Linked DNA regions of Pelodiscus sinensis. The protein of the gene in region 2 interacts with the protein of the main gene of each other region in a pairwise test. Links are inferred from orthologs where the notes say so. Each region holds a gene or a part of one and is shown on either strand. Other genes may lie near its edges.

Region 1 (7,774 bases), on a different chromosome or scaffold from region 2:
GGTATCTCGGGACTGGTGCAGGCAGGAAAGAAAAATAATTTGCCTTTAGAACAGAAGTAAAAGCAGTGTTGTCAACTCATGATTTTGTCATGAGTCTCATGATTGTTTTCCTTAAAGCCCCAACTCCTGGAGCCAACTGAAGGTGATTATTTCTGCCGTCATTCTTAAAGAAAAATGAAGTTTCTAGCCTTCATGGTTGTGGAGAAAGATCCAAAATGTGGCCTCAGTGCACCCTAAATGCACAAAAAGCAAAGGATAAAGAGAACAGCAAACCTATATTTTTACATTGGCTTTGAAATAAGGAGCCTCTCTCATGATTTTGGGGGAGATAGATACATGATTTTTGAACATTTGGGATTGGCAATACTGTGAAACTTTAAAGTGTTAGTTTCACTCCTGTTTAAGGTCAGTTATTATTGTAGCCCTCAGAGCCCCAGGCAGGTGCAGTATAAACTCACAGGACCTTGACCTTGCAGAATGTAAGTCACTTAACTTCTAGAAACTCCACGCTTAGTGAAGTGCACAGAAGTGATACAAAATCATTTAGATATTTCTACAGTTCTTTCATTTGTTGTATTCAAGAGTTGATAAAGAATATGCATTTAAATTTTAATCCTAACCAATGTCCCTTAACACAAGAGGCCAGAAAATAATATTGTTAGAGGTGCGTGGGCATAATATTTGTTTAATTCTCTCTTTTTAAAAAAACAAACAAACAGAAATTAGATACAGCACTCCTGTCACTTAGCTTTTAAGTTGTATGCAAAAAACCCTAAGTAGCCCATGAAACAATGATTAAAAGGTTCCCTCCCTGTCCCCTCTCTTCCCCCCCCCCAAAAGTCACAACCTAATCTGAAATGATGTCCTTAACAAAGCCTCTCCAACAATCCTGTCTTCTCTCATACAGGACAGAGAGCCCAGAAGGAAACAGTTGGAGTAACAACAGTCCTGCAGTTATCCTGATAGGTTTTACACCACATGAACACTGCAAGCACTATACCTGCAGGAGCAACCACAATCAAATCATGAAAAGCATTCAATTTATTGTAAACTTTTCTCACTCAACTCATTAAGAGTCTTGATTGGAATGATTTAGTTCAGGGGTGGGAAATCTAAGGCCCAATATCCTCTATTAAATAGGTAACTGAAAAACTGAATTCTGAAAATGAAGTTTGTGATAAACATCTGATGCTTTCTATTCTATCTGTTGTATATTTCATTTTGAGTATGATAGTTCAATCTTAGAAAGTTAACCGCTGTAGAGAAAAGCGAGTCAAGAGAGAAAAAAATTAGAACCAAGATTATACCCCCCGCCCCCAAAAAATAATCAGTAATAAGGATTAGAGTTTTGTTTTCAATCACCTATTCTCATTCAGTTTATAATTTTAAAGGTATAGTTCAACTCCATGAACCTCCTCCTTAGCCAGTTAACTAACACACACACACACACACACCGAACTAAGGAGAGTCCAATGTAGATTACTTATCTGCTATCTAAATCTAAGACTCCACAAGAACAGTTACAAACCCCTAAAATGTTGGTATATATATATATATACACACACACACACACACCTCAAACAGGAAAAAAGAGTCAACTGCAGGCTGTACATGATTCACACGTAGCTGCTTAAAGTAACCATGCAATAAATTATCTTTCCCCTACTTTCACACTTAGCACTAACTTTGTCTTAGACAATCTTGTCCTCGTAGGTTTACCTATAGTCAGAAAAATTACAAGAAGCTGAGAAGACAGACATGAGATACTGCCATTAGAAAGCTCCACAGGAAAGCACTGTTTGGAAGCCTCAAAACTCCTGGGAAAGCAAAAGATACTGCTCCTGTACCATGTCTGGGGGTCTCCAAACATCTGTCAATTTTCTCTCACTTTAGAATCCTTCTGATAACTAACAGGGAGTGGAAGGCACATTTTCCCCCTCTCTTACTACTGCTAGAAGGCTTTAGTGAGGGATAGTGTCCTAGACTAGACTACAGGGTTTTTTGTTTTTTTTTTAAAGTGGCCTTTTTTCGAAAAAACTTCACCTGTGTCTAGACTACTGCTGCATTCTTTCAAAATTATATCAAAAGAATGCAGCAGGTTTTTTTTTACTGCGGAAAACCTCATTTTACAAGGAATAACGCCTTTTCTTGAAAATGCTCTTTCGAAAAAAGGCGTTACTGAATGTAAACAGGGCTTTTTCGAAAGAGAGCATCCAGACTGCCTGGGTGCTCTTTCAAAAAAGCGACTTGCTTTTTCGAAAGAAGTGGTTGGTTGCAGTCTAGACACTCTCTTTTGAAAGAGGCTTGTAGTCTATATGTACCCCTAGATACTAACTGTTGCAAAGCAGGGCTGCTATGTGCGGTGGGAGGGAGGAGGAGAAGAGTTATCTTTTTCCCCCTGCAGATAGTGCCACTGACTGACTGCGCTTCAGCTTATAGCTTTCCACACCCCACCAAGCTGCAGTTCAATGAAGTGGACTAACTGGTCATCCTCACCGATACCATTCCCTGTGGGATGTTTTACTGGCCAGTCTTGTCCATTTCACTCTGCAACAGCTTGGGAAAGCTTGCAGCTATAAAAGCCATAGAACTGTGTGAAGAGTCAAAGAGAGAACAAAGCATTGGTTCATATCTGGAAGGGAATCTCAGGAATAAACAGATTCTCTTTTCAAAGAAAGACTGAATACTATAGACATTTATGTTGTAGTTCTCCCCACTCACCAGGGAAAGGTCTCTCCTTGCCATTGGGAAGTGGATTTGTCAAGTCCTTCCCACTTTCCAAAAGGTCTAAGCATCTTCACTGTATTTCTGTAGGAATGGTGAGTTGACACATATCCATTACTCCTCCTGTAGAGAGCTTCTGCTACCCTGCAAGGTACATGCAACCTACCCCTTCATCAGTTTCACTCAATGGCCTAATTCTAGAGCTTGACCAGAAAGATAATTGAATCCTTAGGCGTTACTATAGCAACCATTAGATGTCATCTTAGAATGGTGAGAGATACCCTATCCTACAGTGAATGAGAGAACTTCGCCACACTCTGCCTAGCAGCTAGGGGAGGGGCAGCCTGAACCAGGTGTCCTCCTCAGCCCAAAGGCAAACATAACCTGGTCCCAGAGAGCGCCCTCCGCCACAGTTGCTCCCCTAATCCAAAGTCAACCACCACCCAGCCCCGACCACCCCCTTCCCAAAGCACCCCCCACACCATGGTCAGAGTAGCCCAGATCCTCCCCCGCCACAGCTAGGGCAGCTTCAGACATCCTCCGGTGAGCCCCCTGGCCCTAAAGCCTCCCTGCTGTGGCTTGACTCCAAGCCCACTCACACCCAACCTCCGCCCCAGCCGATACCGCCCAGCCCAGAACTTCACCTACCTCCCCCCGAGAGATCCCTTGCACCCCAACCCTCTGTCCCAAGCCTGAGCCCCCTTCCCACACTCAGAATCCCTTGGCCCCACCTCCACCACATGAATTTTGTTATATGCACCAATACGAGGGTGATATGTTGCACGTCACCTCCATATTGGTGCAACATAATTCATTTTGCTCAATGGCGGGTAAAATTATAGGATTATGAACAGTGTTCCCTTTAATGACTGCAGCAGGCATGCAGCTCAATAATGCCAACTGTCTATGATATGCAAAGTATTTCACAGTTTACTCATCATTAGAGATAATCTGAACAAACTATTACAAAATAAAACAAATTGCTATTTTTGTCCACATCAGCTTAGTATTATCCTTCCATGCAAAAGGTCAACATATCCTGAGTTGAATACAATTACAATAGATACCTTTTTTATGGTACAATCATTGCTGAAAGATGGCTTGACTTTCACAAAAAAATTAATACTCCCTGGTTGGAATCCATGTTTATCTTTTGAAAGACTGGTCTTTAGGAATGTTCATTAACTGCCCAAGCAGGGACCATCACAAGCATTAGTCTCAAATGTTGACCTGTTCCCTAGCAGCAGTGGACAGCTACCCAAACTGGAAGTAACATATCCTCATTATAAACTTCAAATCCTTCCTGAGATTAAGAAATCCATGATAGCATATGCAATTTACTCTATTATAAAAAGCAATACTGTAGAAAAACACATTAAAAGGTAAAATATCCTGCATATTTTCTAGGGGTTGAAAGTTTTCCAGAATTTCTAGATGGTTTTGCTATTGCAGTGCATTCCAAACTGAACTATTACAAATGTAGTATTTTCTTCCATTCAGAAGACAATGCATGAATTCTCTAAATTAGTGTCATCATTATGAAACTGTTCCTTATACACAAGCTTTTCAAGAATTGGACACACACACCCCTCAACATTATGACTTTGATACCCTTGCCTTTATATTAGATTGGCAAGATTTTCAGAGCAGGAAATGCATATTTTGGTAAAGGAATGTGTAAGTTTGCATTTCTCATGATTTATAAAATTATATTTTATTCCTTTACATCAGCCAATCATAAGCACAAAATGTTCCCAACAAACTGCGATCTGAGAAAGGTTTTGCCAAAAAAGGATGGGGTGAATAGGTAGGGATTTTGTTTTTGAAGTGCTTGGAGAAAAGTTAATACGTTTAATTTTGGAGTATACTCAACTGCCTGCATATTTGGTTTCCCTGCTGCTACCCCTGTGCCCAGATACCTCTAGATAGGTGCTTGGTATAAACAAAAAACTAAACAAGTCAAAGCTATGATTTTGGCACTACTTAGGCTACCTTTCCACTACAACCTAAAGATGGTATTCCCCTACTCATATACACATTCATATTAGCCCTCAATGAGCTAGCACAAGTATAACTAGCAGTATAGCCTGGATCCAACAATAGCACCAGCAGAGACTAAGCTGTGCCAAGTACAAACCTGCCTGAAATCAGTAGGTATATACTATGCACACTCAGCTGTGTCTGAGGCTACCTGTGCTATTGCAGATAGACAGATATTTATACTCGCTTGATGATGATGCAAGTATACATAAATTAGAAGGGTAATCAGCCCCTTAGCTCAGAATATAGTAAATCACGAGCACATATCTGTATGTATACACGTATGGACCCACTGAAGTAAGTGCTTCTGTTCCTATCTATAATGTTATGCAGTGCTTTGAAGGACTGCTAGTGTGGATCTACACTGTGCCCATAGCTCAAAAGAAGCTACACAAACTGCTAGCTTATTTCGAGTGTGTTTCAAAATAGCTTATTTTGTTATTTGGCGCGGTCAGCACGGTACCAAAATTTGAAAGCGAGTGCTATTACAAAACGTCCCTTAATCCTCAAGGACTGAGTTTTACAGGGACGTTGGAACAGCACACCTATTACTTCAAAATAGCTTTCGAAATAACGGGCATGCTTTCAAGACATGGCATGTGCTCTTTGAGGATACCGAAAGTATCCTGAAATAGCACCGCAGTGTTGACGTACCCTACTCAAGACAAGTTTTGAGATGAAAGCCCAGAGATATGCTTAAATATCCACACGCAAGTAAAGAAAAGCTATTGCAAGCTCAGTTATACTACTGTTGAATTTCAATCAACAGGGTGTCCAAATGACTATTTCTGAATGTATGATTGGGATAACCATATGCACAAAGGTAAACAACTTCATGTGAATTTTTGCATATGACCTTGTTCTAAAATAGGTAGTCTTGGGGTAATTTATTACTACTTCTTTCAAAGAAATTAAATGTAATTTTGAAAGTGTTAATTTGTAAGGTAAGTCTCATCTAAATGGAGCACTAGTGAATATAGGAAGGCGTTAGCATCTATTATCTTTTATACTGTGCTGATGACTATGTAAAAGAAAAATAATTCTAAACCAATTACTGTTTAAAGGAGAATAATGTTAAAGCTATATTTGTGTGAAAAGGTTACAATAATGTATTACTACTGTTGCCTTATGGACCCATAATTTGTTTTGAATGTTTAGCTTTTTTTAAATTCAATACTTAAAATGTAAAGTTTATGATACATTACGTGGAAAAATAAATAGAATGATCATCAAGAACTCTATAAACTTCTGCATTTACCTTTTCTCAGATGTTGTTTTTACTTTGTTCATCTTGGAAAACTTAGTTCTTCAATTAACCATCTCATATAATCTGTAAGACATTTCAAAAAAAATTAAGACTTGTTAGCAATAGGTTGTTTTACTGTACAATTAAGTGCTTCCATCATACTCTCTGCACTCAAGTTTTAAAAACAAGTGATTTTCTAAAGTGTACTTGTTACTCTGAATGAAAAAAAAAGTAATTCTTGTTCCCAATTCAACATATAGGGCCTAAGAAAAGGAGCAAAATTAACATACTACTGAAAAAAAGCAAACACGCAGTGAAGTACTAAGTTACTGTTTAATCATACTAAATCTCAGGGAATACAGGCTTTTATATAATATTGGAAAAAAATCAGTAATCATCATAGCGCATGTATCGCTAACAACTTACACAACATTTCCAGAGAAGAAATCTACCCTCTTAAAAAAAGCTTCTCCTGGAGCCAAAACTCAATTTTTTCCCCAAATTTTATGTGTTTCTCATAGCATACCTACTTTTGTTGATGGCCACACCATGGTCTTAATTTTGAGACCAGAAACCTAGATGCACAGTCAGAAACAGAATTTTGGTCCTCTTCTTTAAGAAGGACCGAAAAAATATTTTCTACAGAAACCACAACATACTAATACTTAAAAGGATGGGAACATTTTAAGTACATAGTGTCCTCAGAGTGTCTAGGTATGTCTGCACTTGCACCCTCTTTCGAGAAAGGGATGCAAATAAAGACATTTGAAATTGCAAATGAAGCCGGGATTTAAATATCCCGTGCTTCATTTGCATATTCACATGTCGTCGCTATTTCAAAATTGCTCTATTTCGAAATAACAAACGCTGTTAAGATGCGGTTATTTCAAGAGAAAACTCTTCTCTCAAAAATAACCCTTATTCCTCATACAATGAGGTTTACAGTTATTTCGAGAGAAAGGTTTTCTCTCAAAATAACCGCATCTTAAAAGCATCTGTTATTTCGAAATGGCGACATAACACGTATATGCAAATGAAGCGCAGGATATTTAAATCCCAGCTTCATTTGCAATTTCAAATGTCTTCATTTGCATCCCTCTCTCGAAAGAGAGTGCAAGTGTAGACATACCCTCCATCTTATATGGTGCCACTGTTTATGGTCCTTAGTTGCTCAATCATCGTGATTTTGTCAGATGGAATGTGAATGAGATTCCCTATAATACAAAGATTTCTGTGCAAGGCCATGAGTTATAAAGCACTGAAGTACAAGACAAACATTCAAGACTCACATACATTCAAGACTCAAACACACTTATCTGCTTACATTTTGTGGGTGAGAAATGAGGTACAGTACTAGCCCTCAAGTTTACAAGAACTTGTTATTACCATTGCCACTCAAGCATAACAGGCAATTAGTTTTGTTATGCAATTAGTTGCTGAAGAACAGGAGACGGGTATAAAGTAATCTTTAGCAGGCTTAGTTCAGCCTTTCTGTCCCCTGCCATATCAAAAATGCGTAGATCAAAATAAGATGCTTCAGAAGCAAGGAGAGTACTGCTGCTTCAGGAGCAAGGAGAGTACTAAAACCAGGAGAAGAAAGGGAGTCTCCCTTCTCCCTCCCCCCCAACACCCCCCCCCCCCACACACACACACACCCCACCCCCCACCCCACCCCACCCCCAGAAGCAGCTGTAAGTGTTGGGAAAGTTTACAAGATCAATATAAACAGTGAGGTATAAATAGCTCCCCTCCACTTTTCTGGGA
Region 2 (7,650 bases):
GTTCATATAGATTAACTGTTCTTGAATAATTTATCTGATGCGCTAGATACAAATCTTTTTTCTAACACGTTTCTTAAATCTGGGCTATCTGGACAGATTATCTTCACTCTGGTATGTGAAAATTCACAGGGTAGCCTTTGTTTTTCCTACACCCTCCTTCCCCACCAGTCAACACTGACATCAGTCATCCTTCAGGGGTTCAAAGTGGCAGCATAAAGAGAACTCAACATTTTGATACTGTTGAGGCAGATCGACCATTAACTCAAGCCAACAGATCCTGTAGCCGACTAAATTAATGGAGGCTGGGTTTTAGAGGACAGAAGCACAATGCCATGGAAAGTGTGCATATCAGGAGTCGTGATAAATGCAGTTTCAGCAGAGGATTTCATATCTCCATTTGTGGAATTATGTTTTTAAAATGCAAACAAAATACTGCTGAGAGGCTAAGAGTATCAATTGTTTTGGGCAAAATATATCCTGCCCAAGTTCTGCCATTGAACCCCCCGCCCACACACTCACACAAACAAAAATATGACAACATAATTTTAAACAGTCAGGACCTTAATACTAAGGAAATTCTTAAGTGTTATAAGAACACTAAACTGCTGAGCTTCCTTAACAAAACACAGTTATGCCAGGTTCATTCATCTCTCAAATTGCATTTGCTTTACACTGGCATTAAGGTCAATAACATTTCTCCTGATAGTCCTCAGCAGGAGTGAGGTGAATTGGACGTAAATATTTATTTTTAAAATATATGGTCCTAATTTTCCAATCTTGTCTATGCCTTGAACTGCTGAGCAATCATTTACACCATTATTCAGCCAGAAACTCACCAGTAGGAATGTGGGGTGAATGAATTAGACAGGAATCTTATTTCCACTGAAGCAAATAATATTTCTACAACTACACTCTGAAAAGTTCTTTAGCGGATGCCACCTTTAATTTTATTTTTCTTTCACATTTTTTTTTAAAGTCAGTGCCAGCACTCTTGCTGTAATAAAACAGGCATGAGCTTTCAGACAGGAATTTCAGCACCCATGTCCATGTTAGGTACTACTCCTTTCACTAACCAATAGATGAAATCAGTAATATATTCTCAGGGCCAAAAGGATGGAATAAAAGAGTTACAGGAGAGGGGACAAGTCAGATCACAAAGAAAGTGATGGCTGCCATATTTGGTAAACTAGACATCTAATGGTACATTTGAAATTCAAATAAGAGCTTTCGCTTTAAAAAGGTGGGGGCAGGATAGCTAATGCAAACAGATGAAGACACAAAAAAAGCACAGGGTTTAGCCTCTGTGTTTAACAATGCACTGTGCCACAAGGTGTGACCCTCCAGGCCCCAAATCCCACCCCCCACATCGATTCAGTTCCATTGGTGAGCGGTGCAAATATAAATACACACACGGTGTGTACAAGCACTAATAAGCATGTATTTAATCAAGCTCCCTAAGACAAGCCGGTGCCTGATGAGAATGTCAAGGCGAGGTGCATCCCATCCCCTGAGGGCCAGGGAGGCGAGGAGGGAAATCATTAAGGGCTCATTATGTTCGAATTTCACAACACTATCTGCAAGATGGACTCTATCACCCCCTTGCTCCATCCAAGGGAGAGGCAGCGGCGGAGGCAGGCCCCAGGCAAGAGCATGCGGATCAGTAGGGTAACGGCTGCTGTAAGAATCAGCACAGCGGAGGGCAAAGGGAAGCGAAGCCACATCCTCGGCGCGCGCGTGTAAATTAAAGCCCAGCATCTCGTCTGTGTGTGTGTAAATTAAAGCCAGCGTCTGTGTGGGGGGAAGGGGGGATTAAAGCCAGTGTCTCCGGCACCTGCCTGAAATGTCACACTTCCAGGTGGAACCCACCCGCAGAGACAGCCAGCCCACACAGCGGAGAGCGAGCAGAAAGCATGTCAGAGGGAGACACACACACACACACACACACACACACACTCTCGCGTGCACAGATGCTGGCCGCCCAGCAACGGGGGATATGACACATCTGCTGTGCAACAAGCCCGGACTTGGCCCCACATTGCCCCACGGACACCAAAAGCCGGCTCGGGATCTGCATCCCACCCCCCTCGGCAGCTACGTGCCGAGCACACACAGCGCTGGGGGGCAACAGACTATGTCGTGGGCGCTACAGACAAGCAGCTCACAGCGGGCTGGTTCTCCAGCGCGGGGGAAGGGAAGCGGGGGAGTGACAGGTTGTAGCGAGGCAGATTTTGGTTCCCCTCCTTGGATCTTCAGAAAGCATCTCACACACACACACACACACACACACTGCTGCTCTGTCTCACACAGTGTTGCTCTCTCACACACATACACACACTGCTGCTCTCACACACACGCACGCGCACCCATAGCTGCAGCCGAATCACACTGGCAAAGCCGAAGAAACTCCCCCCCCCCCCCTGCAACCCGCTTGCATACAATGGCAAACTTATCTCCACGCAAAGCCATAAAGCGCGCGGGGTCAGAGCCGGGCGGGCGCAGGGAAAGGGAATTGGGGGTAGGGTTGTTTTGCTCACCCTCAGGGCTGAAAGATCTATCTCATCCAGGCTCCGAGCCGGAGAATCACTCGCCATGTTTACTTCTTTGCCGGAGAAATTGACCAAAGATAGAAAGTAACCGCTGCGCTCTTCTGGCTGGATCCCCACCTGGGTCTATTTCACTCCTCTCCTCATGCGGGGGTGGGGATGGGAGACACCCCCACTGCACACCGAGGAAAAACACGACACAACCAAAAAATAAAGCCCCACTGCAAAACAAAAAATCCCCCAGCAAACAGTGCCTGGGCAAGTCTTCCTCTGCTTGCAATCCTTTAGGTAGGGAGGGCGAGGCCAGTGCAAAGCTTAAGGGCGATGCTGGGGAGTGGGTGTATTTAAATAGGACATGCTTTTTGCTTTTCTCTGGATGGCGGCTGCATTGGCTGCTGTTATAATGAGACACATCAACTCCTCCAGTCGGATGGAGAGAGAGCCACAAAGTGTCTATCACGGCTTCCTGGGAGGAGTGAGTGTCACGAAGTGGGTGTTGCCTTTCCTCAGGAGAGAGGCAGCATTTCCATGCCATGTGTGTTTGCACTATCCTGCTGGGAAAGGAAAGGTAAAAACTGCCTGGAGCTGGACCCTGCCGATTTCTGGACTTATAACCCTGAAATTGGACCATCAAAATAAAGGCTGTCACTTCAAAAGAAAAAAAACACACACACACTCCCACAAACACACACATGCATCTAAATTGAAAAACAGTGTAGCTGTTCCTGCTTTAAGAGCAAAATCTGGACCCTGATATAACCCAGCCCAATAACACTGGGGGGGGGGAGAAATGCATAGTATCTGAGTACTGTTGCATTCAGCCAATTTTACATGCTATATCCCCAAGTTTTATTGTGTAAGTAGAGAAATAAAAATGTGGTCCCCCCCCCACATCCCAGCTTTGTTGCAAACTGATGAAACAGATCTGCAAAAATGTGCATAGGGCACTTGGTCCTGCTAGATTCAGATAGTTCTGTTTAAATCCTAAATCCAAGAATCCCACCACAAGCCATATCGAGAACAATAGCTCCCCACATTCCATAGTAAAAATTCAGAGCCATTTCTTCCAAAAAGCATCACAAATATTTATCCGCTGGTTTCTTCCATTTTTGGCCCCAAACCCTCTAATTATACCATTAACAGACTAACATGATACCACTCCTTTATCATAAGAATTCAGCATTCACACCTTCTGGTGCAGGTGAAGCCACTTTCTGCATATTAAGTTTGTACAATTTGGGGGCTGGAGCCAAAAATTGCCAAGACACAGAGGCTTGAATCCAGATTTTTGTAGCACTCCATGTTTTCATGATGACTTAGAGTCTGAAATTGTTAGGTATAGAGAGAGTGACTACACTTACTCTCTGTCTATGCCATTCAACATGGAGTTGAGGCCTAAAAATGGATTTGAGCCAATGCAAGATACAAGATGGGGGAGGATAGCAGTGCTCTAGCTCTGAGATGTGCCTGTGACTAGATTTTTTGTTTTATTCGATAAGAGCAGCTAGACTAGATGTAGTGTATAATTTTGGGTTTGGGGACAAAAATCAGTAGAAACTAGCAGAATCTAGGAAGATCCAGCTTTTATTTGTTTCCTTATTTGTTATTCTCTACCACCCCCCAAACCTGGTACATTCCTTGTATTTGTTGCCTCAAGGAAGAATATTATAGAAGATGCACTGGGGAGACTGTCAAACTTCACAGGTTTGTGCGGGAATATTACAAAATGCAGGTCCGTGAAGTGGCAACACAACCACACAATAATGTGTGTGCAGGACAGCAGTTGGCTATTAATTGTGCTTTATGGATTAAGATGCTCTTTGCACTACATTTTAGTGCAAACAATCATGCAATTGACAGAAAGGCTTGTTGCCTGCAGCTAGTGTGTCAAGGGCTTTGTAGTCTGAGACGCAGCACACACATATTACCAGGAGTAATTTGGGAAGCAGAGCTAGTCAGTAGGTTAGCCTAGCAAAACAAAGCCTACTGAGTGAAATTTCCCTATCAGCAATAGGCTATCATAACCCAGTTGCAGATCCAGGGGCAGCCCCACCCCACTTTGTCCCCTCTGTTCACGGTCACTGTGCTGTCTACAGAGTGAATACCCTGCAGGGAAGGAAGTTCAGAGCTCTAGAACTGAATCAGTCTTCTTATCATTAATAACACTGATCACAGAGTTCCTGATACATGCAGAGAAATGGAGCAACAGCGTCATCAACCAGTGCTGGTCGTTAGAGCATTTTTTCCTAGAAAATTTCGAGTGCAAAGCAAAATATAATTTGTATAATTGAACTGCCAAATGTCTCAGGTAACTGAAATATACAGAAGTATAATGTTCACAAGCCTGTTTAGTGGTGCAGTGATGCAAACGATCAAGGTTTCCAATACAAGAATAAATAAATCACATGTTGCAAAAAGATTAATCTCTGCTGACATTAAAAGGATCTAATTTAACTCAAATCTTAAAGTAAGGGGAGAAAGGCTTTTACAATATCATGGAACAATCAAATTATTGCCATGATTCTCTCATTCTTTTTCAACAATGGAATTGTCTTTTAAACCTAGTGTTGTTTTTATTGGTTGTAACCTATACATTGCAATGTTGCACTAACACATGAGAACCTGAAAGCGAAATTGGCTAGAAGCCAATAACAAACAAAAATGAAAAGAGTGCTACTGTTTTCATTGTTCTAGATGAGAGAAAGGAAAAGAGAAAAATGTATGTTTAATATTCTTTCCATTTAGAGAAAATAAGGTGTAATTTATGAAACAGTTCATGACATTTATTTTTTTACATGTATAGAGATTAAACCTTCAAGCAGGCATGTTAGCATGGACACCTGCCACAATATGATGTTGTGATGTTGGCAGAGTGACTTTCAGAATTGAGGCCTATACAGTAATTTGTCTTTGAAGATGTAAATATAGAGAGCCAATTTATATCAACAACCGAATAAATAAGCGAAATTATGATAGTTTATAGTATAGTGAAAATTCCAATTTCTTCAATGCACTTCAGTGTGCAAATTGTGGCTCTGGTCATAATGAACATCTGCTGATAGGATGTTCTGCACAAAGAATTACTTTACTATTTGTGTGTGTTTATAATATCCAAATCTGTGGTCACTTTACGACTTCAAAATTATTATAACTGTGCTATGTACAAAGGCTTGGTGGCAGTGGACATGGAATCCAGATTGCAGAAACTTATGATAGCTAGGAAGCGGCCATCTGAACCAATTTATTTTTTAATGGAAAATGCAATTTCTGCAAGATCACAATTTTCCATGGAAAAATTTCAGTTTTGTTGGCAATTTGTGATACTCCATCAGAAAAATTGAAATTAAATATTTAATTTGGTATTAGCTTCACTTGAATCAGAATATTTCATTTTGTTGAACTGACCAGAAACTCATCATTTTTAATCAATTCAGTATTAAACAGAATTTTTCTACTGTGTGGCATTGTCTCATAGGAGCTGTTAGTTTGGGCCTCCATTCTATCTTTTTGGCTGGGCTCACTAGTGGATTACATCTCCAGTGATACAAGGTGGAGTTCCATCTCACCAAGATACCTGGTATATGTAAATGTCATAACTGTAGATATATAGTTGTTGTAGTACAGACAAGAAGCATGGTCCTTAGTGGAGAATGGGGGTTCAGGGTCCTGAACTACAGTTCCCATAAAGCAATGCACTACAATACAGAATTTCAGTTTAATATAATGAGCTGATTTGAAATGCAGTATTTAGGATTAATTCAATAACCAAAATTAAACATTTCTGTTTCAAGAACTAGCAAAATAATTTGTTTCACTAGAAAATTGGGAAACAAAATGTTTTGTCATTTCTAGATTGAAAAAGTTCTGAATATTTCGTTCTGTAAAAAAAAAATTAAAAGTTTTGTCCAACTATAGGACAGATGATTTAAGTTACAAAAATGATTTGAAATATAAAAATAATGATTTAAGTTAAATAATTATTTAAGATATAAAATAGCGTGTTAAAGAGGTACATTTCTTTAATAAGATTCCAGTTGAATTCAATAGGCTTTGTATCAGTTCCAAAAGGATTGCACAGCCTTTGCAAAGAAAAAGAGGGACTGATATAATAGATTGACAATGACCCATCCACTGATATATTTGATTACTAGAAGGAAGATTCAGCTGAGTCACTGGTTTCCAAAAATTCCATGACTATTAGATCACATCTTCAGTTGGTGTAAATTGGCATTGCCACATTGACTTCCATGGTACAGTACTAGGTTGATTTACACCATCTGAGGAGCTAGGCCAACATTTTTACATGAAATGCACTAGTAAAAGGGCATTGCCTAAACACAATAAAGAGTGTTTAAATATTAATACTCTATTAAATGGATAATAATTGGATTTCAAGCTAATGTGATTCCTGCCACAGCTGTGTTACAAGATACTCAGAAATTAATGGCTACTTGTGTCCATCCTGCATCTATTGATCTTCCCAAATGCATTGTAATTGGTACATCAGGCGATTGACGCTTTTCGTGCTGATGGGAGTTGCCACAGGAGAGATGCAAAGCAATGAGGAACACTCTGGGTACTTCACAATCACAGCAGTGACACGTTGCCTGTGGTTTATTATTTATGGCCATCGCTATTGTTTAAGAGAACAGATGGCAACCACACCAATAATGAGTGATTGCAGCACACTCTCTGTGCAAGCCTTACCTGCATCCTTGAGTCACTCCAAAACAGGGCATGGCATCATGCAACATGATGCAAGCCACTACACACATTAAGAAGTGCCATGGGACATCGCAAGGGAACTTCACTCTTGTTGTCTTAGCCTCTCTCTTGAGGAAATGGACCTTGCTTCCTCAGGAGTTGTGTACGTCAGCTGATATTGCTTGGAAGAGGAGTAGACATTAGAAGTCACAGTTAGGCCTTAGGAACGGGAACCGTGGGGTATGATTGTGGCATCCTGCTCCAGGTTCCTCAAAGCCCTGTAGACTTCACACTGTGCAAGATCTCCATTCAGATTTGCAATGGAGAGCATCATGGGGTAGCACATAGCATATGGGCTATGAATGAAATCCTGGCCACATGGAAATCAAAGGCAAAATTCCCA
Region 3 (7,169 bases), on a different chromosome or scaffold from region 2:
TGAAGAAACTCAGGGGTGTCTGAGGGGACCCAGGCACCTCCCCCCTAAGTTTTGCTGCTATTTTTGTTTTTCGGCCTTGGTAAGTTGATTTTTTTTCGCTCAATGAGTTTTGCTGCTATTGGGGGGGGGGGGGGCGTGAGGGTTTCTCAAAAATCAGAAAGGGGGCGTGATGCTGAAAAGTTTGGGAACCACTGCTCTAGGCCAATCAGAACCCACCCCACTGCCCTATGGCTACTTGCTTCATAGCTCCGGCCCGGGAGGGAGAAAGCAAAGCAGCGAGAGAAACCTTTGACCGGTGCTCGGGGGCGCTGTGTCTGATGCCTGGCAGCTGGTGATACCCTGCGGGCGGCAGCCTTGATGCCCGTTTGCCCCCCGAGCGCTCCGGCAGAAGGGAGGGTGCTCCAGGCAGCCATTCGGGGCAGGCTGGCATTGTTCTTCGTATGTGCTGGGGTCTCGTCCCCACTCGGACGGGCAGAAGGCGTGGCGGTCCCCGGGGGGTACTGTGCCTGGTGTATTTCGAGGGGGTCTACAGGCTGATGTGGGTCGGGGGCACGGGTCAGACGGGTTATCTGAGATGAGTGTTCTGCCCCCGCTCTCGTCACCTGGAGCCCAGGGCTGCCCTACCCAGGATCTGAGTCTGATAGGGAGTTACTCATCCGCGCTGACGAGTGGGGATTGGCGGAGCTGGCAATCGGCTTCCTAGTTTGGACAAGAGGAAGAGAAACAAGTTACTGTCCGGGGGAGGAGGCGCGTCACGGGCACCTACAGCAGGGCTGGCTGGTTAGCCACCTCTGGATGGAGCCCGTGGGGATGGGAAGCGCCCAGCAGTTAACCTGTCGGGTGCCAATCTTGCTTGTGTGCCACAGGGATTTGCAGGCCATCCAGACCCTTGTCTGCAGAGCGGGTTTGCCAGGCCATTGCGCCGGGCCGGGAGAACAAAGAACAGCAGGCGTGGCCCCCCCTCCCGCCCTCTCACCCCAAAGGCCTGGCTGGTTTCCATCAGCACCTCTAGAGCACGGCTATAAAAGCCTTTTAGTGCCGAGGGGATGAATAATGGCTGTTTCCTCTGGTGATTAACCCACCCCCCGCCAGGCCAGGGCCGGCAGTGATGGAAGATGACGTGTTTTTCCCAGAGGCGCTGGAGGTGTCCTGGGCTGGAAGGGGAAAGGCAAAGAGGACCGCCAGCCCACCGCCACCTGGCTATTCATCGCTAATATTAGGAACCCCCCCCCATTGTAAAGAACTCGTCCACATAGTAACTTCCAATCCCACCCCACCTACATGCCACATGCCAGGAAATTCTCTGAGCTCCACCCCCTCTGATTTTTTTTTTTTTTAGAGATGAGCTGATCTGGTGTCCACTCCTGTGTATTTCATTCCTCCAGCTAATCCAGGGGTGTGTTGCTTCGTTTGTGTACACTGGCCTGCCAGAACCAAGCTCACCTTTCCTGCTTCCAAGGTAATGGTGGAGTTTGTTTATGTAGCACCCACATGTGCTCAGGGCTTTACATGACAAAGCCCTTTCTCCAAAAGGGTGGAGTCTCCCTGACAATGAAGATGGGGCTACAAAGATAGTGGCCTGCTCTCCAGAGGAGCCTTTTCCATCACTCCGAGCAGAGACTACACAACAACCTGAGTTGTATTCTGCACGCTGCGCTGCACACAATCATTGTCACACAACAGCCCTCCAGGCAGGGCCTACTCACGGTTCCAGTGGTAACTAGATGTCAGGGGTCCAGCCCTGCTAACTGGCTTGTTGTGACCTTGGAACAACCACTTCACCGTTCTCTGCCTCCATTTACCCACCTGTAAAATGGAGCTGAAGCTAGCTACTCCCTCAGCTGCTAGGCAGGAGAGTCCAGCAATGAGCCTCATCCAGCCTTTTGTTCCAATCAAGTCCTGCTGTCCATTCATTTGCATCATACAGCCAGATTTCAATCGACAATTAGTGATTATCTCCCCAGCCTGACTGACCTAGATTCCTGGGCAACAAAGATGCAGATCCCAACCTACTGGGCTAACCTCTTCCCACCCATACAGGTATGCTGAGAGTTGACAAACACATCCAAGTCACTTTGTACCCCGGTGTAGAACAGGGATGCTCTTTTCGGGGCCTGCTGTGTCATGCTTCACCCCAGAGATGGCTGCATTTCACTGCTGCTGTTTGCATACTCAGTACAACTGTACCTAGAAAATCACGTTTACCCGAAATCCCTGTTCCATGTCCCCTTGTTTTTAATTACATTCACTATTTCCCCCTTTGTCCATATTCATGCAGCTCCCATAATCCCCTAGCTGAGGACCCACTGCACTCTACAAGAGGGCTGGGCACTGAATAAACCTGAGTCACTTGGGGTTTGCTTTTTCTTGCAACTGTGATGCAGGAGGTATTATGTCCCCAGCAATGGCTCCCTGAGGCACCAGAAGAGCCCATGAAAACAACCACAAATGCAAACATTTCTTAGCTTGTTTGGAAACCCCTCTGAAGATGGCAATCGCGATTAAAAACAAATGCAAACCCGGGCAACCCACAGCTAGAGATGCCCGCCCGTCACTGTAAGGTGCCGTTGAAGCCCTAGCAGGAAAGAGGCTGTAAGATTTAAACCATCAAGTTGCAGGCCTTGATTGCAGGGCACTGGTGAGCATGCAGCCCAGGTAGCTCCCCAGGGGCGGCGGGGTGGCGCTGGGCACAAGGTGGCAGAGGCACTGCTAGAGCGAGAAGAGGGATTGGACGATGGGGTTACTGCTGCGGCTCATTAGGATGAAGGTGCGTGGCAGGGTCTGAATGCAACTGGTTAGCAGCTGAGACACAATTACAATACGCTGTGCCTGGGACACGCCATACCATGTCTGGGGGATGCGCTGCCAGTGCCTCTGGGACATGGGGGCACCCCTCCTGGCATGGGGCAGTGATATGTGATATATTTGAGTCAAACACTGCATGACCCAGGGGTGGCAGCAGGGCACAGCACAGGATGCAGGGGTGCCGTTGCGGAGTCTGGGGGTGCAGAGCATGGGTATACCAGGGAATGCAGAGCATGAGGGGGCACAGTGCAGGGCCTGGGGGTGCAGAGCATGAGATCCTGGGTTGCCAGTGGGTGCAGAGCGCAAGGGCTGGAGGTGTCAGGAGGCACAGGGTGTGGGGGCAATATTGGGGCACACAGCGCAGGGGATGTGGGGGGGATACTGGGGGGCACAGTGCAGGGTCCAGAGGGAGGGGGGCTGGTCCAACTGGGGGGGCTCCCGGGGGCTGGCTCAGGGCAGGGCCTGGGGGATATTGGGGGGCTCCCGGGGGCCGGCTCAGGGCAGGCTCGGGGGGATATTGGGGGGCTCCCAGGGGCCGGCTCAGGGCAGGCTCAGGGGGATATTGGGGGGCTCCCAGGGGCCGGCTCAGGGCAGGCTCAGGGGGATATTGGGGGGCTCCCAGGGGCCGGCTCAGGGCAGGCTCAGGGGGATATTGGGGGGCTCCCAGGGGCCGGCTCAGGGCAGGCTCGGGGGGATATTGGGGGGCTCCCAGGGGCCGGCTCAGGGCAGGCTCGGGGGGATATTGGGGGGCTCCCAGGGGCCGGCTCAGGGCAGGCTCGGGGGGATATTGGGGGGCTCCCGGGGGCAGGCTCGGGGCAGGCTCGGGGGGATATTGGGGGGCTCCCAGGGGCCGGCTCAGGGCAGGCTCGGGGGGATATTGGGGGGCTCCCGGGGGCAGGCTCGGGGCAGGCTCGGGGGGATATTGGGGGGCTCCCAGGGGCCGGCTCAGGGCAGGCTCAGGGGGATATTGGGGGGCTCCCGGGGGCAGGCTCGGGGCAGGCTCAGGGGGATATTGGGGGGCTCCCAGGGGCCGGCTCAGGGCAGGCTCGGGGGGATATTGGGGGGCTCCCGGGGGCCGGCTCAGGGGATATTGGGGGGCTCCCTGGGGCCGGCTCGGGGGGGTATCGGGGGGCTCCCTGGGGCCGGCTCGGGGGGGTATCGGGGGGCTCCCGGGGGCCGGGTCTCCCCGCTCCCGCTACTGGCCCAGGCCGCGCCCCCTTCTCCATGCAGGCTGCGGAGCGCGCTGAGCAAGGGAGGGGCGGGGCCAGGCCATCCAGCCGCCCCACGTGGCCTGGGCCGCGCCAGCCAATGGCCGCGCGTGTTTCGGAAAGATCTCCATATATGGCTATGTTCTCGGCCGGCGAGGCGGGGCCGGCGCCCCCGGGTATAAAAGGGCGGGGCTGCGCGCACCACGGTCTCACTCAGCCGGCGGCAGCGGACCCAGCAGCCTCGCGTCCCGCAGCACCGAGCGGAGCCTCCTGCCCACAGGTACTGCCCGGGCCGCGGGGCCTGGCGCCCGCCTGCGCCGCCCCCCTTCGCCAACCGCAGGCCGCGGCGGCGCGCCCCGGGCTCCTTCCCGGCGGGCCGGCTGGGGCGCGCGCCGCCCCCCCCTTTGGGGGTTCGCGGTGGTACCGCCCGGCCGGCCGTTTGAATGGCGCGAGGCCGTGGCCGTGTGCGGGCTCTGGCCAGGTAGGGGCTGTGATTGGTCCCCCTGGCGGGTGACGTAATAGAGCGGGAGGTTTGTTTGAATGGAGAGGGGTGGGGCTGCTTGTCGCTCTCCGCGGGCAGAGGGGCGGGGCTGTAGGCTAGCCCGTTGCTCCGGCAACAGGCCCCTGGCGCAGCGGGCGGGCGGGGGGAGAGGACCTGGCTGCGCCTCGCGCCCTGCCCGGGGCTGTAGGCGGCTGAGCGCGTGCTGCGGGCTGGGGGCAGGGCTGCCCTCGCTGCCATGGGGGGTGGCGCCTTTGCAAGCTGGGCGGGGCAGGCACGTCTGGCTCCAGCTGCTGGGATCCTGCAGGGCCAGGCCTGGGTGCAGTTAGTGACCCCCTGCAGGTGGGGGCCCCCCCGGCCTTGGCTTGCACCTGCAGGTGGCCCCCCCCCCCCCCCCCCCCCCCCCCCGGCCTTGGCTTGCAGCACAGACCGAGCTCTCCTGGCTCAGCCTGTGCTGGACCCGCCCTTGACCAAGGTCTCTCCCCTCTGCAGCAAGATCTCCACCATGGAAGAAGAAATTGCAGCGCTCGTCATCGACAATGGCTCTGGCATGTGCAAAGCTGGCTTTGCAGGAGATGATGCCCCTCGAGCCGTGTTCCCCTCCATTGTTGGGCGCCCGAGACACCAGGTGAGCAGCCAGCCACGTACCCGTGAAGTGAGAGTGGCCAGGTGTAATATTGCTGGGGGTTATGAAAAGGGGCCTTGACACTTACGGCCTGCCTTGTTTTTAAAGGGTGTCATGGTTGGCATGGGGCAGAAGGACAGCTATGTAGGCGATGAGGCCCAGAGCAAGAGAGGTATCCTGACTCTCAAGTACCCCATCGAGCACGGCATTGTCACCAACTGGGATGACATGGAGAAAATCTGGCATCACACTTTCTACAATGAGCTTCGTGTAGCACCTGAAGAACACCCTGTTCTGCTGACAGAAGCTCCCCTGAATCCCAAGGCCAACAGAGAGAAGATGACACAGGTACACTTGCTGCAGTAGTCTGTGATCTGCCTTCCTCCCTGTTTCACAAACCATCTCTTTCGTTATGGATCTCTTTTAAAACTCAAGTGTTCTTTCAATATTTTCAGGGCTCTGTACACCTCCTGGCATTTCCTTCCTGAAGTCTCAGGTTTCTTTTTTTGTTTTCTTTCTGCCTGCGTTCTTTGCTTTTCCTTTCCCAGCACATCAGTTTTTGCATGCAAGCATGTTTTCAAAGATTGGCTTGAGGCGAGGTTTTCGTACTACCTGTAGTAAAACAGAACTTTCTTTGCAGATCATGTTCGAAACCTTCAACACCCCAGCCATGTATGTTGCTATCCAGGCAGTGTTGTCCCTGTACGCCTCTGGTCGTACCACTGGTATTGTTATGGACTCTGGTGATGGTGTTACCCATACTGTGCCCATCTACGAGGGGTATGCTTTACCCCATGCCATCCTGCGTCTGGACTTGGCTGGCCGAGACCTGACAGACTACCTCATGAAGATCCTGACAGAAAGAGGCTACAGCTTCACCACCACAGCTGAAAGGGAAATTGTGCGTGACATCAAGGAAAAGCTGTGCTACGTTGCCCTGGATTTTGAACAGGAGATGGCTACTGCTGCTTCATCATCCTCCCTGGAGAAAAGCTATGAGTTGCCTGATGGTCAGGTGATCACCATTGGCAATGAGAGGTTCAGGTGTCCAGAGGCCCTCTTCCAGCCATCCTTCCTGGGTAAGTATCTACCAAACCGTCATCTGTGCTGGAACACAACAAGCCATGAGAATCGCTGGACTGCCAAGTGCTAGCTTTGCAGTGCTGACTGCAATCTAAAGCTGGTTAGGGGAGGGGTTGGGTAACTGAAGTCTGATCACTTCTGTCTCTTAGGTATGGAATCCTGTGGCATTCATGAAACCACTTTCAACTCCATCATGAAGTGTGATGTAGATATTCGAAAGGACCTGTATGCCAACACAGTATTGTCTGGGGGAACCACAATGTACCCTGGGATTGCTGACAGAATGCAGAAGGAAATCACAGCTCTGGCACCCAGTACGATGAAAATTAAGGTAAATGGCTCTCCTCTTTCCAAAGAGCTACTGAGTCATAGGAGGAGGCTGCCTTTCCAGATATTCTTGACCACTGACTAACTGCTTCTCCTGTCTTTCTAGATTATTGCTCCACCTGAGCGTAAATACTCCGTTTGGATTGGTGGCTCCATCTTGGCGTCTCTCTCTACCTTCCAGCAGATGTGGATCAGCAAGCAGGAATACGATGAGTCTGGCCCATCCATCGTCCACCGTAAATGCTTCTAAATGGACTTTTCACTAGTATACATTTGCCTGGGCAAATTTATACACTTCATGCTAGCCTCATAAAACTGGAATAAGCCTTTTTTCAAAAACTTGCCCTTGGGAAAGTCTGTAAGACAAATGTCAGTGACTCGAAGTTGCTGATTTGACCCTGTATTCAAGTTAACTGTTCCCCTGGTACATTTCAGCACCTACCCTGTATGTATCTGACCAAACCTTGGTACAGGTGGCATCACTCATGTGGCATAAATGCTAGGGTTAGCTTGTATTGGTAGAAGAATGTTCAAGTATCTCACTATGGGCTAGTGACTCCTGGTAATTCTAGGGTTTGAGCCTAGATTTGTACAGGGTATTTGTCAGACTTCCAATACAAAG
Region 4 (7,824 bases), on a different chromosome or scaffold from region 2:
AGAAAACCACTTTAATTTTTAAAAGTCGTTTGATTTACAACTGCCTTATATAGATATTTGTCAAATTAACACAACACCAGATATAGTTTGATCTTTGGTATTAGGCAAGTACAGACTAAACCCCAAATAAACAGATAAGAGCAACTACACAATGGTTCAGACAGCTTATCAGAGAATCACACCCTAAGTTCAATGTTATACTCTCTATGGTTGCCTAGATTTGGGTGGTAACACTGCTACCCCTCATTAGGAGAGTATTTTTAGAAAGAAGCAGAAGCCCTTCCTAGATGTCTACCAGTTGATCCTTCTGGTGTTCCCCAAATCTCTTTGTTCTAAAGCTTCTTCTAGCACCTATATAACCCATGATGCAGAAGATTTTAGTATGAGAATGCTATACAAAGCAATACCTTTCTACAAAAGCTTAAAAATCCTTACATATATCACTTCACATAACTGCACCACCCATCTTTAAGTCCTGCATTCCCTACAGTTCATAAAATTACCCTGCTAGGGCACAGGAGAGTGTAGGGAATCCATCGAGTTACATGAATGAACAGAGCACCGAACCACAATATTAATTCAGAATTATTTAGGTTCACCTTCTGCATAAACAATCTCCCTTAAATATTATAATAATCTTCAGATTTATACTGAAATGAAATTAAGTCAACAACGGAAAAAATCAAAGTCAACATATGAAAACGATAATCAGACAATAATCCTTGCTTTGCAACAGTGACTGGTCACTTTTTACTGCCAGACAAATCAATATCCACCCTGCAGAAAAATAAACCACAAAACAGAATACTAGATACGTTTCATTTCAGAAGGTTGCTGCACCACTGACTCTTCCCTAAAGAAGAGACTTCATTGTTACAGCAATTAGCATTCCCCCACCCCAGCAAAACGCAAGCAAAGAAAAAAAATGCTATGAAAGGGTAATCTAGCCATTTCGCAGCTTCTGCCTCCTTACTCCACCCAGTCTCTTCTCTGCTCAATGGCTGCACGCAGCATCCATAAACATGGTCAAATCAAAAGAACACACAAAAACAATAGCCCTGAAAACAAACTAGATATCGACAACAAAACCTTTTGCTTAATATATATTTTCTTTGTTTAGCTCCTCAAGATATTTTCCTGTTTTCCAGAGCCACTTTAAAGGCAAATGATACATTTTGGTAGGAGACCCTCCCTCTTCTGACTGCCAGTTTGAATGCTGCACAATCGTTTCATAAATGATAAATCGTGAACACAAGATTATTCTCCTTACCTCATGAAACTAAGATGTACAAGTAACATTTTGCCATAAGCACCCTGAAGAACCCCCACACACCTCACTGATTATTGAATCAGATTAATAAACCTAAACACATCACCTACGATTATTTTGCAGTCAAACCGTTCAATGAAGGCTTTTAATATAGCTTCAGTAACCTACCACCATCCTGGTTAGGTAATTCATTATGAATTGATTTGACCTGCAACAACCAAGCCCTACTGCAGCATTATCAGCAGAGAAATTTTACCACAGCTACTATGGAAAAGCACATTATTGTTGTATCAAAGGCCAAGTATGCTATCTCCTTCACCCTCCACACAAATTTCACACCCACAAAACTGAGCCATACCAACTTTATATGAAGGTAAAAGACATCACGGCCAACCTCCTTCCCCCCTACATTCCCCCCCCCCCGCCCCCAAAATCTGTTTGACTATAAACTCCATCCTGCCCATCAGCCGCAAGAAACATTCCTACTTAGATCTCCATCCTCTCTCCCAGCCACCTATTTTTGTCCTTAAAAAAACATTTGAATGCCAAGTACTAGGCATGGGTTTGACACACACACCCCAAAAGGAGAGAGGTTAGATCTCCCTCCCCCATTTCTGCAGCAGCTGATTCTGAAGGTCTGACCCACCTCCTAACAATGTTCTCCTCCCCCCACTTACTGAATCACTGCAGGGAGATAAGGGCGGGTGGGAAACGGATTCAAAATAAAGAAAGGCTAGCCCTCTCCTATTAGCAACCCTGGTTTTGTTGTTAGTGCCGCAGCTGATTCTGAAGATCCGGGCCATCTCCTCCCGAATCTCAAAGGGAACAAGGAGGAGAAACAGACCTAGATCCTCTAAGGATTTTCGGGGGGTAAGAGGGGAGTTAGGACCCTTTCACATGACACACACACACGCCACCCTCCTCACCCTCTGGGATTTTTTTTAACTGCCAGTCTCCTGTCCGGCCCATCAGGTCCGTCGTCTCCTCGCCGGCTGCTTGCTAAGTCATCAGGGCGAAGGACTAGAGGCCGGGGAGGGGAGAAGACACCCCAATGAGAGGGGGCTGGAGCCCACCCAGAAGGGGCACATCGCTCCCCCACCCCCTGGCCTGGGCCCACCCCGCCCTGCCCGCCTGTTCAATCCCCCGGAGGGCGCTGAGACCCCGGGGAGGGGGGAGCTGCCCCCCCCCATCGCCCCCCAGCGCTGCGGAGAGGGGGGATGGGCGCTCCCCCTTCGCCCTGCCCCCCCTCCTCCCTCCTCACCACCAACGGGCGCGGCGGCCATTTTGAGAGCCGAGCTGGAGAGAAGGAGGGAGGGGACGGGGGGGGAGGGAGGCGCACGGACCGCAGGGCCTCGCTCACCCCGCCGCTGCCGGCTGGGTCGTGGGAGGACCCCGCGGCGGGCGGGCGGACGGGGGCTCCCTCGCGGGCCCGGCCTTACCCGCGCCGCCGCTTCTCTTCGCTCCCTGAGGCCGGCGCCGCCCGTCGCTCCCATGCACCGGCGCGGGGCCCTGTGGCGTGGATGGGGGTGGCGCTCCAGGGGCCGGTGGGGGTGCGGGGAGGAGAGGGGGGGGGGTCTCGGCAGGCTCCGACCCGCTCTCGCCGCCGCCGCGCCGGCTCCTCCTCGCTCTGTCAGTAGCGCCCCGGCCGCCAGGAGGGAGGGAGGGAGGGAGCAGCTCGGCCCGCCGCACCCACTGCGCATGTGCAGGAGGGAGGGCGGGGACAGGAGCCTAGAGACCATCTTGGGAAGCTAAAGCGGAGGCTCGCGTCCCGGCGTGCACCGCGCCCTGCCTCTCCCGGCATGCACCGCGGGCGGCCCCTGGGAGCATCTCCCACCTCAAGTCCTAATATCGCCCCCTGGCCTCTTCCACGCTCCCCAACCCCACCCCCATCTTCCCGCTGCCAGCGCCCCTTCCCCCGGCTGCCAGCCCCACCCCTTAACCCCCCCCGGCTGCCAGCCCCACCCCTTCACCCCCCCCCCGCTGCCAGCCCCACCCCTTCGCCCCCCCATTGCCAGCCCCACCCCTTCACACCCCCCCGGCTGCCAGCCCCACCCCTTCACACCCCCCGGCTGCCAGCCCCACCCCTTCGCCCCCCCATTGCCAGCCCCACCCCTTAACCCCCCCCCCGGCTGCCAGCCCCACCCCTTCACCCCCCCCCGCTGCCAGCCCCACCCCTTCGCCCCCCCATTGCCAGCCCCACCCCATCTACCCTCCCACTGCCCCACCCCTTCGCCCCCTTCCCTGGCTGCCAGCCCCACTCATTCTCCCCAGCACTCCTGCTGCCAGCCGCACCCCTTCTCCTTAGTGCCCCCACTGCCAGCCCTGCCTCTTCCCCCCCCTCACCGCCAGCCGCACCCCTTCTCCCTCCCCCACTGCCAGCTGCACCCCTTCTCCCCAGCACCCCCCACTGCCAGCCCCACTCCTTATCATAGAATCCCAGGGCTGGAAGAGACCTCAAGAGGTCATCGAGTCCAGCCCCCTGCCCAAGGCAGGACCAATCTCAACTAAATCAACCCAGCCAGGGCTTTGTCAAGATGGGACTTAAAAACCTCTAGGGATGGAGATTCCACCACCTCCCTAGGGAACCCATTCCAGTGCTTCACCATCCTCCTAGTGAAATAGTTTTTCCTAATATCCAACCTAGACGTCCCCCACTGTAACTTATCCTCCAGTTCCCCTACTGCCGATCCCACCCCTTATCTTCCAGCATCCCCATTGCCAGCCCCACCCCTTCTCTTCCAGTGTCCCCACTGCTAGCCCCACCCCTTCTCCTCCAACATCCCCCACTGCCAGCCCCACCCTTTATCCTCCAACGTCCCCACCGCCAGCCCCACTCTTTATCCTCCAGCGTCCCCCACTCCCAGCCCCACATCTTATCCTCCATTGTCCCTCACTCCCAGCCATACACACCCTATCGCCCACTTCTAGCCCTCCGCCCTTCTGCTATCTCAGTACGTCCTCTCTGCCAGTCCATTCACCACATCTCCCAGCAGCCCCACACTCCTATCCCCACACACCCTAACCCCCACTCCCAGCCCCTTTTATCCCAGACTCCAGTGTCCCCCATTTCCCCTGCCCCATACACTGCATCTTCCAGTGTTCTCCACTCCCAGACCTACACACCCCATCCTTCCCCACTCTCAGCCCCACACACTCCATCCCAATGCAAATCCATTCCCAGTCCCACCACCCCAGTCCCCACATTCTCCAGTATCCCCCACTTCCAGCTCCACACCCCCCATTCCCCAGCAAACTATCCCCAATCCTCTACTCCCTGGCCCACAGCCCATCCCACACTTCAAACCTCCCTCTACCCCAGTATATCCTCTCTGCCAGCACCACGTCCTCCAGCATTTCCCACTCCCAGCCCCACACACCCCATCCTCCAATATCCCGCACACCCCATCCTTCAGCATCCGCCTCTCAGCCCCACCATGCCAGTCCTACACTCCCTATCTGCAGCGTGTACCAGCCCCAAACACCTTCATGCATAGACCCACAAGCCTCCTTCCAATCATCCTGCATTCCTGCCCTCCATTTCTCAGTATGTCTAACCTCCAGCCCCACGGAATGCCACAAAAAAGATAGTCCTCTTGCACTGACAAAACCTATCTTGCTAAGTTCCACATGATTGTTCCCTGCCATGCTGACTCTCAACAGGATCTCCACATACCAGAAATTGACTGCTCTCCAGTCTCTAGTTAAGTGCATATTTTCAAGTAGATTGCCAGAGATGTATGTACAAAATCCCTGTGTGTATTCAGGTATAACTAGATACATTTGCAGACAGCTATGGGCCCATGCATTGCTTTATGTTTACTTACCTATTTGGATTGAAATTCAACATAAACTAGCTGAAACTCTTAGCACCCTTGACAATAATTATAAATACCACCTGAAAATAATTACAAAGCTCAGAAAAGAACATGGGTCACTATATAATAATAATTTGTGTGTGTGCATATTGCAGATTAAAACCTTCCTTTTCTCATAGTCAGGCTCAGCTCTGCCAAAGACCCACTCAAAGATAAGGGCTTTACAGTGTGCCTGGAAAAGCAACAGAGTGATGCTATTTTGGACCAAAAAAGGGAGTGCATTCCAAAGATGAAAGCCCTGGAGGTTGCCCTGCCAGCAGATCCTTCCTTTTTGTACAGTATTGAGAGACTCCAGCTCAGATGCCTTCACTGATCTCAACTGCAACACTATGGCATGTAAAAAGAAGCCGTATCTCAGGTAGGAAACACCTAGATCTTTTGAACTTTATAGGTCAAAATCCTTATAATCCTAGGCTGCAGAAAAAATTGCCAGCTGTCTACACTGGCCGCTTGAATTTCTGCAAGAACACTGACGATCTCATGTAAGATTGTCAGTGTTCTTGCGGAAATACTATGCTGCTCCCGTTCAGGCAAAAGCCCTCTTGTGCAAATGCTTTTGCGCAAGTGGGCCAGTGTAGACAACGCGGTATTGTTTTGCGCAAAAAAGCCCCGATGGCGAAAATGGCGATCGGGGCTTTCTTGCGCAAAACCGCGCCTAGATTGGCATGGACACTTTTCCGCAAAAAGTGCTTTTGCGGAAAAGCGTCCGTGCCAATCTAGACGCTCTTTTCCGCAACTGCTTTTAACGGAAAAACTTTTCCATTAAAAGCATTTGCGGAAGATCATGCCAGTCTAGACATAGCCCTGAAGTCAAGGTGTCATGGAGGTTGGCATGTGCACTCATATAAACTTCCCAAGGGACAGAAAATCCGGCAAACTCACAAAATCTTATTAGAAAAAATGTATTCAAATTGGGTTGAATATAAACCCTGTGGCCTGAATACTGGTTTAAGGACAAGAAACACAAGCTTCAGAGGTGTAGCCAAGTTAGTCTGTAACAGGAAAAACTTAAAAAAACAACAGATGAAGAAGTGGGTTGTGCCCATGAACGCTCATGATGCCGTCTACATGTTTTGTTAGTCTTTAAAGTGCTACTAGACTATTTGTTGTTTTTTAAGTTTTCCAGTAAACACCAGATAATGCTAATGCCATTGTCTTAAGTTGTGGGAAGAGTTCCGGTGGGGGTATTGCAGGGATCAGTTTGAGGTTCAATGTTATTTTCATTAACCTTTTATTGGTGATCTGGAACATGTAGTTAAAATAATTTCAATATTGCAAATGATGCTAAACTAAGAAGAGCTGCACATAATTGTGAAGAGACAAATAATAAAAAGGGGACACCTGAATATAGGAAGAAAGTAACATAATTAGATCCAGCATGGAAAATACACCTCAAATAGTAAAAATTGCTTGTACATATGAAGAGAAATAATTTGAAACATACACTAAGGCTACGTCCACACTGCAGGCTTCTTGCGCAAGAAGCCTGTTGTACAATAGTTTTTGCGCAATAAACTTCTTGTACAAGAGCACGTCCACACCTCAAAGCGTATTGCAAAAGCAATGTGCTTTTGCACCAGAGAGCGTCCACACTGCATTGACGCTCTTGCGCAAGAAAGCTGATGGCCATTCATGGCCTCAGAGCACCTGTGCTTTTTCCCTCAGGAGCTTCCACACTTGCTTTTTTGTGCAATAGCTATAGCACAAAAGGGAGATTTGCCTCGTAGAAGAAGGTTTACCTACACCAGCAAAAGCCCTCTGATCTGCTATTTTACTGCTGGTTTACTTGCGCAAAAGCACATTTCATGTGTGGATGCTCCGCAGGTTTTTGCGCAAAAACCTTGCAGTGTAGACGTAGCCTCAATGGGAAGAAACATGGAAAAAGTAGTAGTGATAGAAACCCAGGAGTGGTAATAGCAGCAGCTTCACTTGTTAGGAACAAGAACGTCAGGTTCATTGGAGGTAGCTGCTCTGAGGTGGAAAAAAACCCTAGAGCTAAGTCATTGCTGTACCTTTCTGTTGGGTATCACGTTTGGTTGCAACACAAGGAGATGGATTGGCATGGTATGTTAATTGTGGTTTGTGTGAAATCTGCCACTGAATCAGCAGTACATTTAACACATGAGCTTTCCTGCAGGACCCAGTGTCACTAGATCTGAAAGAAGCATGCACATCATCCATGGCCCTTCCCTAATTTAGATCTGGGATCTAGGGATTGGATAGATCTTGGCTCATCTTCCCAGATACTCTCCTCCTATCTTAGAGGAATATGAGAAAGTAATAAAACTTGTCTGTGGTCTTATTGTAGCCATGTTAGTCCCAGGATATGAGAGAGACAAGATAGGTGAGGTAATATATTACCTGTTGGCAGACAATCTGGCACACCTTGCATTTAGCATGTCCATTCTAATTACCTTCTCCAGGTCTGAAGAATACTAAGGGGTGCCTACAGCCTCCATAGGTCTTTGGGAAGGTGTGTGTGGGGGGCAGTTCCATGTTCCAGGAAGGGGCTAGGGCCTCAAGTGGAAGGGGAGGGGCTGTGGTAGAAGTTGGTTCAATAAAAGATATTACTTCATCTACCTTGTCTCTTTCAGTAATAACAAAAATAACATTTCTGAGCCAAACATCTCAAAGCCCTTTACAAAAACTAGTCAAGTTTCACTATGCGCTGTGAAGTAG

What was found.
Region 1: the proteins of TNIK (region 2) and AGTPBP1 interact in a two-hybrid assay, tested with the Homo sapiens proteins (2 studies listed by BioGRID and IntAct). The link is inferred for Pelodiscus sinensis from reciprocal best matches to the Homo sapiens genes TNIK and AGTPBP1.
Region 3: the proteins of TNIK (region 2) and ACTG1 interact in a two-hybrid assay, tested with the Homo sapiens proteins (2 studies listed by BioGRID and IntAct). The link is inferred for Pelodiscus sinensis from reciprocal best matches to the Homo sapiens genes TNIK and ACTG1.
Region 4: the proteins of TNIK (region 2) and PAFAH1B1 interact in a two-hybrid assay, tested with the Homo sapiens proteins (2 studies listed by BioGRID and IntAct). The link is inferred for Pelodiscus sinensis from reciprocal best matches to the Homo sapiens genes TNIK and PAFAH1B1.

The regions. Positions count from the first base shown.
Region 1 is NC_134716.1:41,579,116-41,586,889, forward strand, and holds the start of AGTPBP1 (cytosolic carboxypeptidase 1), read right to left. Parts: upstream 3,018-7,774; 5' UTR 2,796-3,017; coding exon 2,722-2,795; intron 1-2,721. UniProt on the Homo sapiens protein: Metallocarboxypeptidase that mediates protein deglutamylation of tubulin and non-tubulin target proteins.
Region 2 is NC_134720.1:39,647,679-39,655,328, forward strand, and holds the start of TNIK (TRAF2 and NCK-interacting protein kinase), read right to left. Parts: upstream 3,012-7,650; 5' UTR 2,592-3,011; coding exon 2,535-2,591; intron 1-2,534. UniProt on the Homo sapiens protein: Serine/threonine kinase that acts as an essential activator of the Wnt signaling pathway. Recruited to promoters of Wnt target genes and required to activate their expression. May act by phosphorylating TCF4/TCF7L2.
Region 3 is NC_134730.1:27,479,067-27,486,235, forward strand, and holds the start of ACTG1 (actin, cytoplasmic 2), read left to right. Parts: upstream 1-4,151; 5' UTR 4,152-4,293; intron 4,294-5,004; 5' UTR 5,005-5,017; coding exon 5,018-5,140; intron 5,141-5,245; coding exon 5,246-5,485; intron 5,486-5,777; coding exon 5,778-6,216; intron 6,217-6,369; coding exon 6,370-6,551; intron 6,552-6,653; coding exon 6,654-6,797; 3' UTR 6,798-7,169. UniProt on the Homo sapiens protein: Actins are highly conserved proteins that are involved in various types of cell motility and are ubiquitously expressed in all eukaryotic cells.
Region 4 is NC_134731.1:11,786,702-11,794,525, reverse strand, and holds the start of PAFAH1B1 (platelet-activating factor acetylhydrolase IB subunit beta), read right to left. Parts: upstream 3,015-7,824; 5' UTR 2,710-3,014; intron 2,218-2,709; exon of another isoform or gene 2,197-2,217; intron 1-2,196. UniProt on the Homo sapiens protein: Regulatory subunit (beta subunit) of the cytosolic type I platelet-activating factor (PAF) acetylhydrolase (PAF-AH (I)), an enzyme that catalyzes the hydrolyze of the acetyl group at the sn-2 position of PAF and its analogs and participates in PAF inactivation.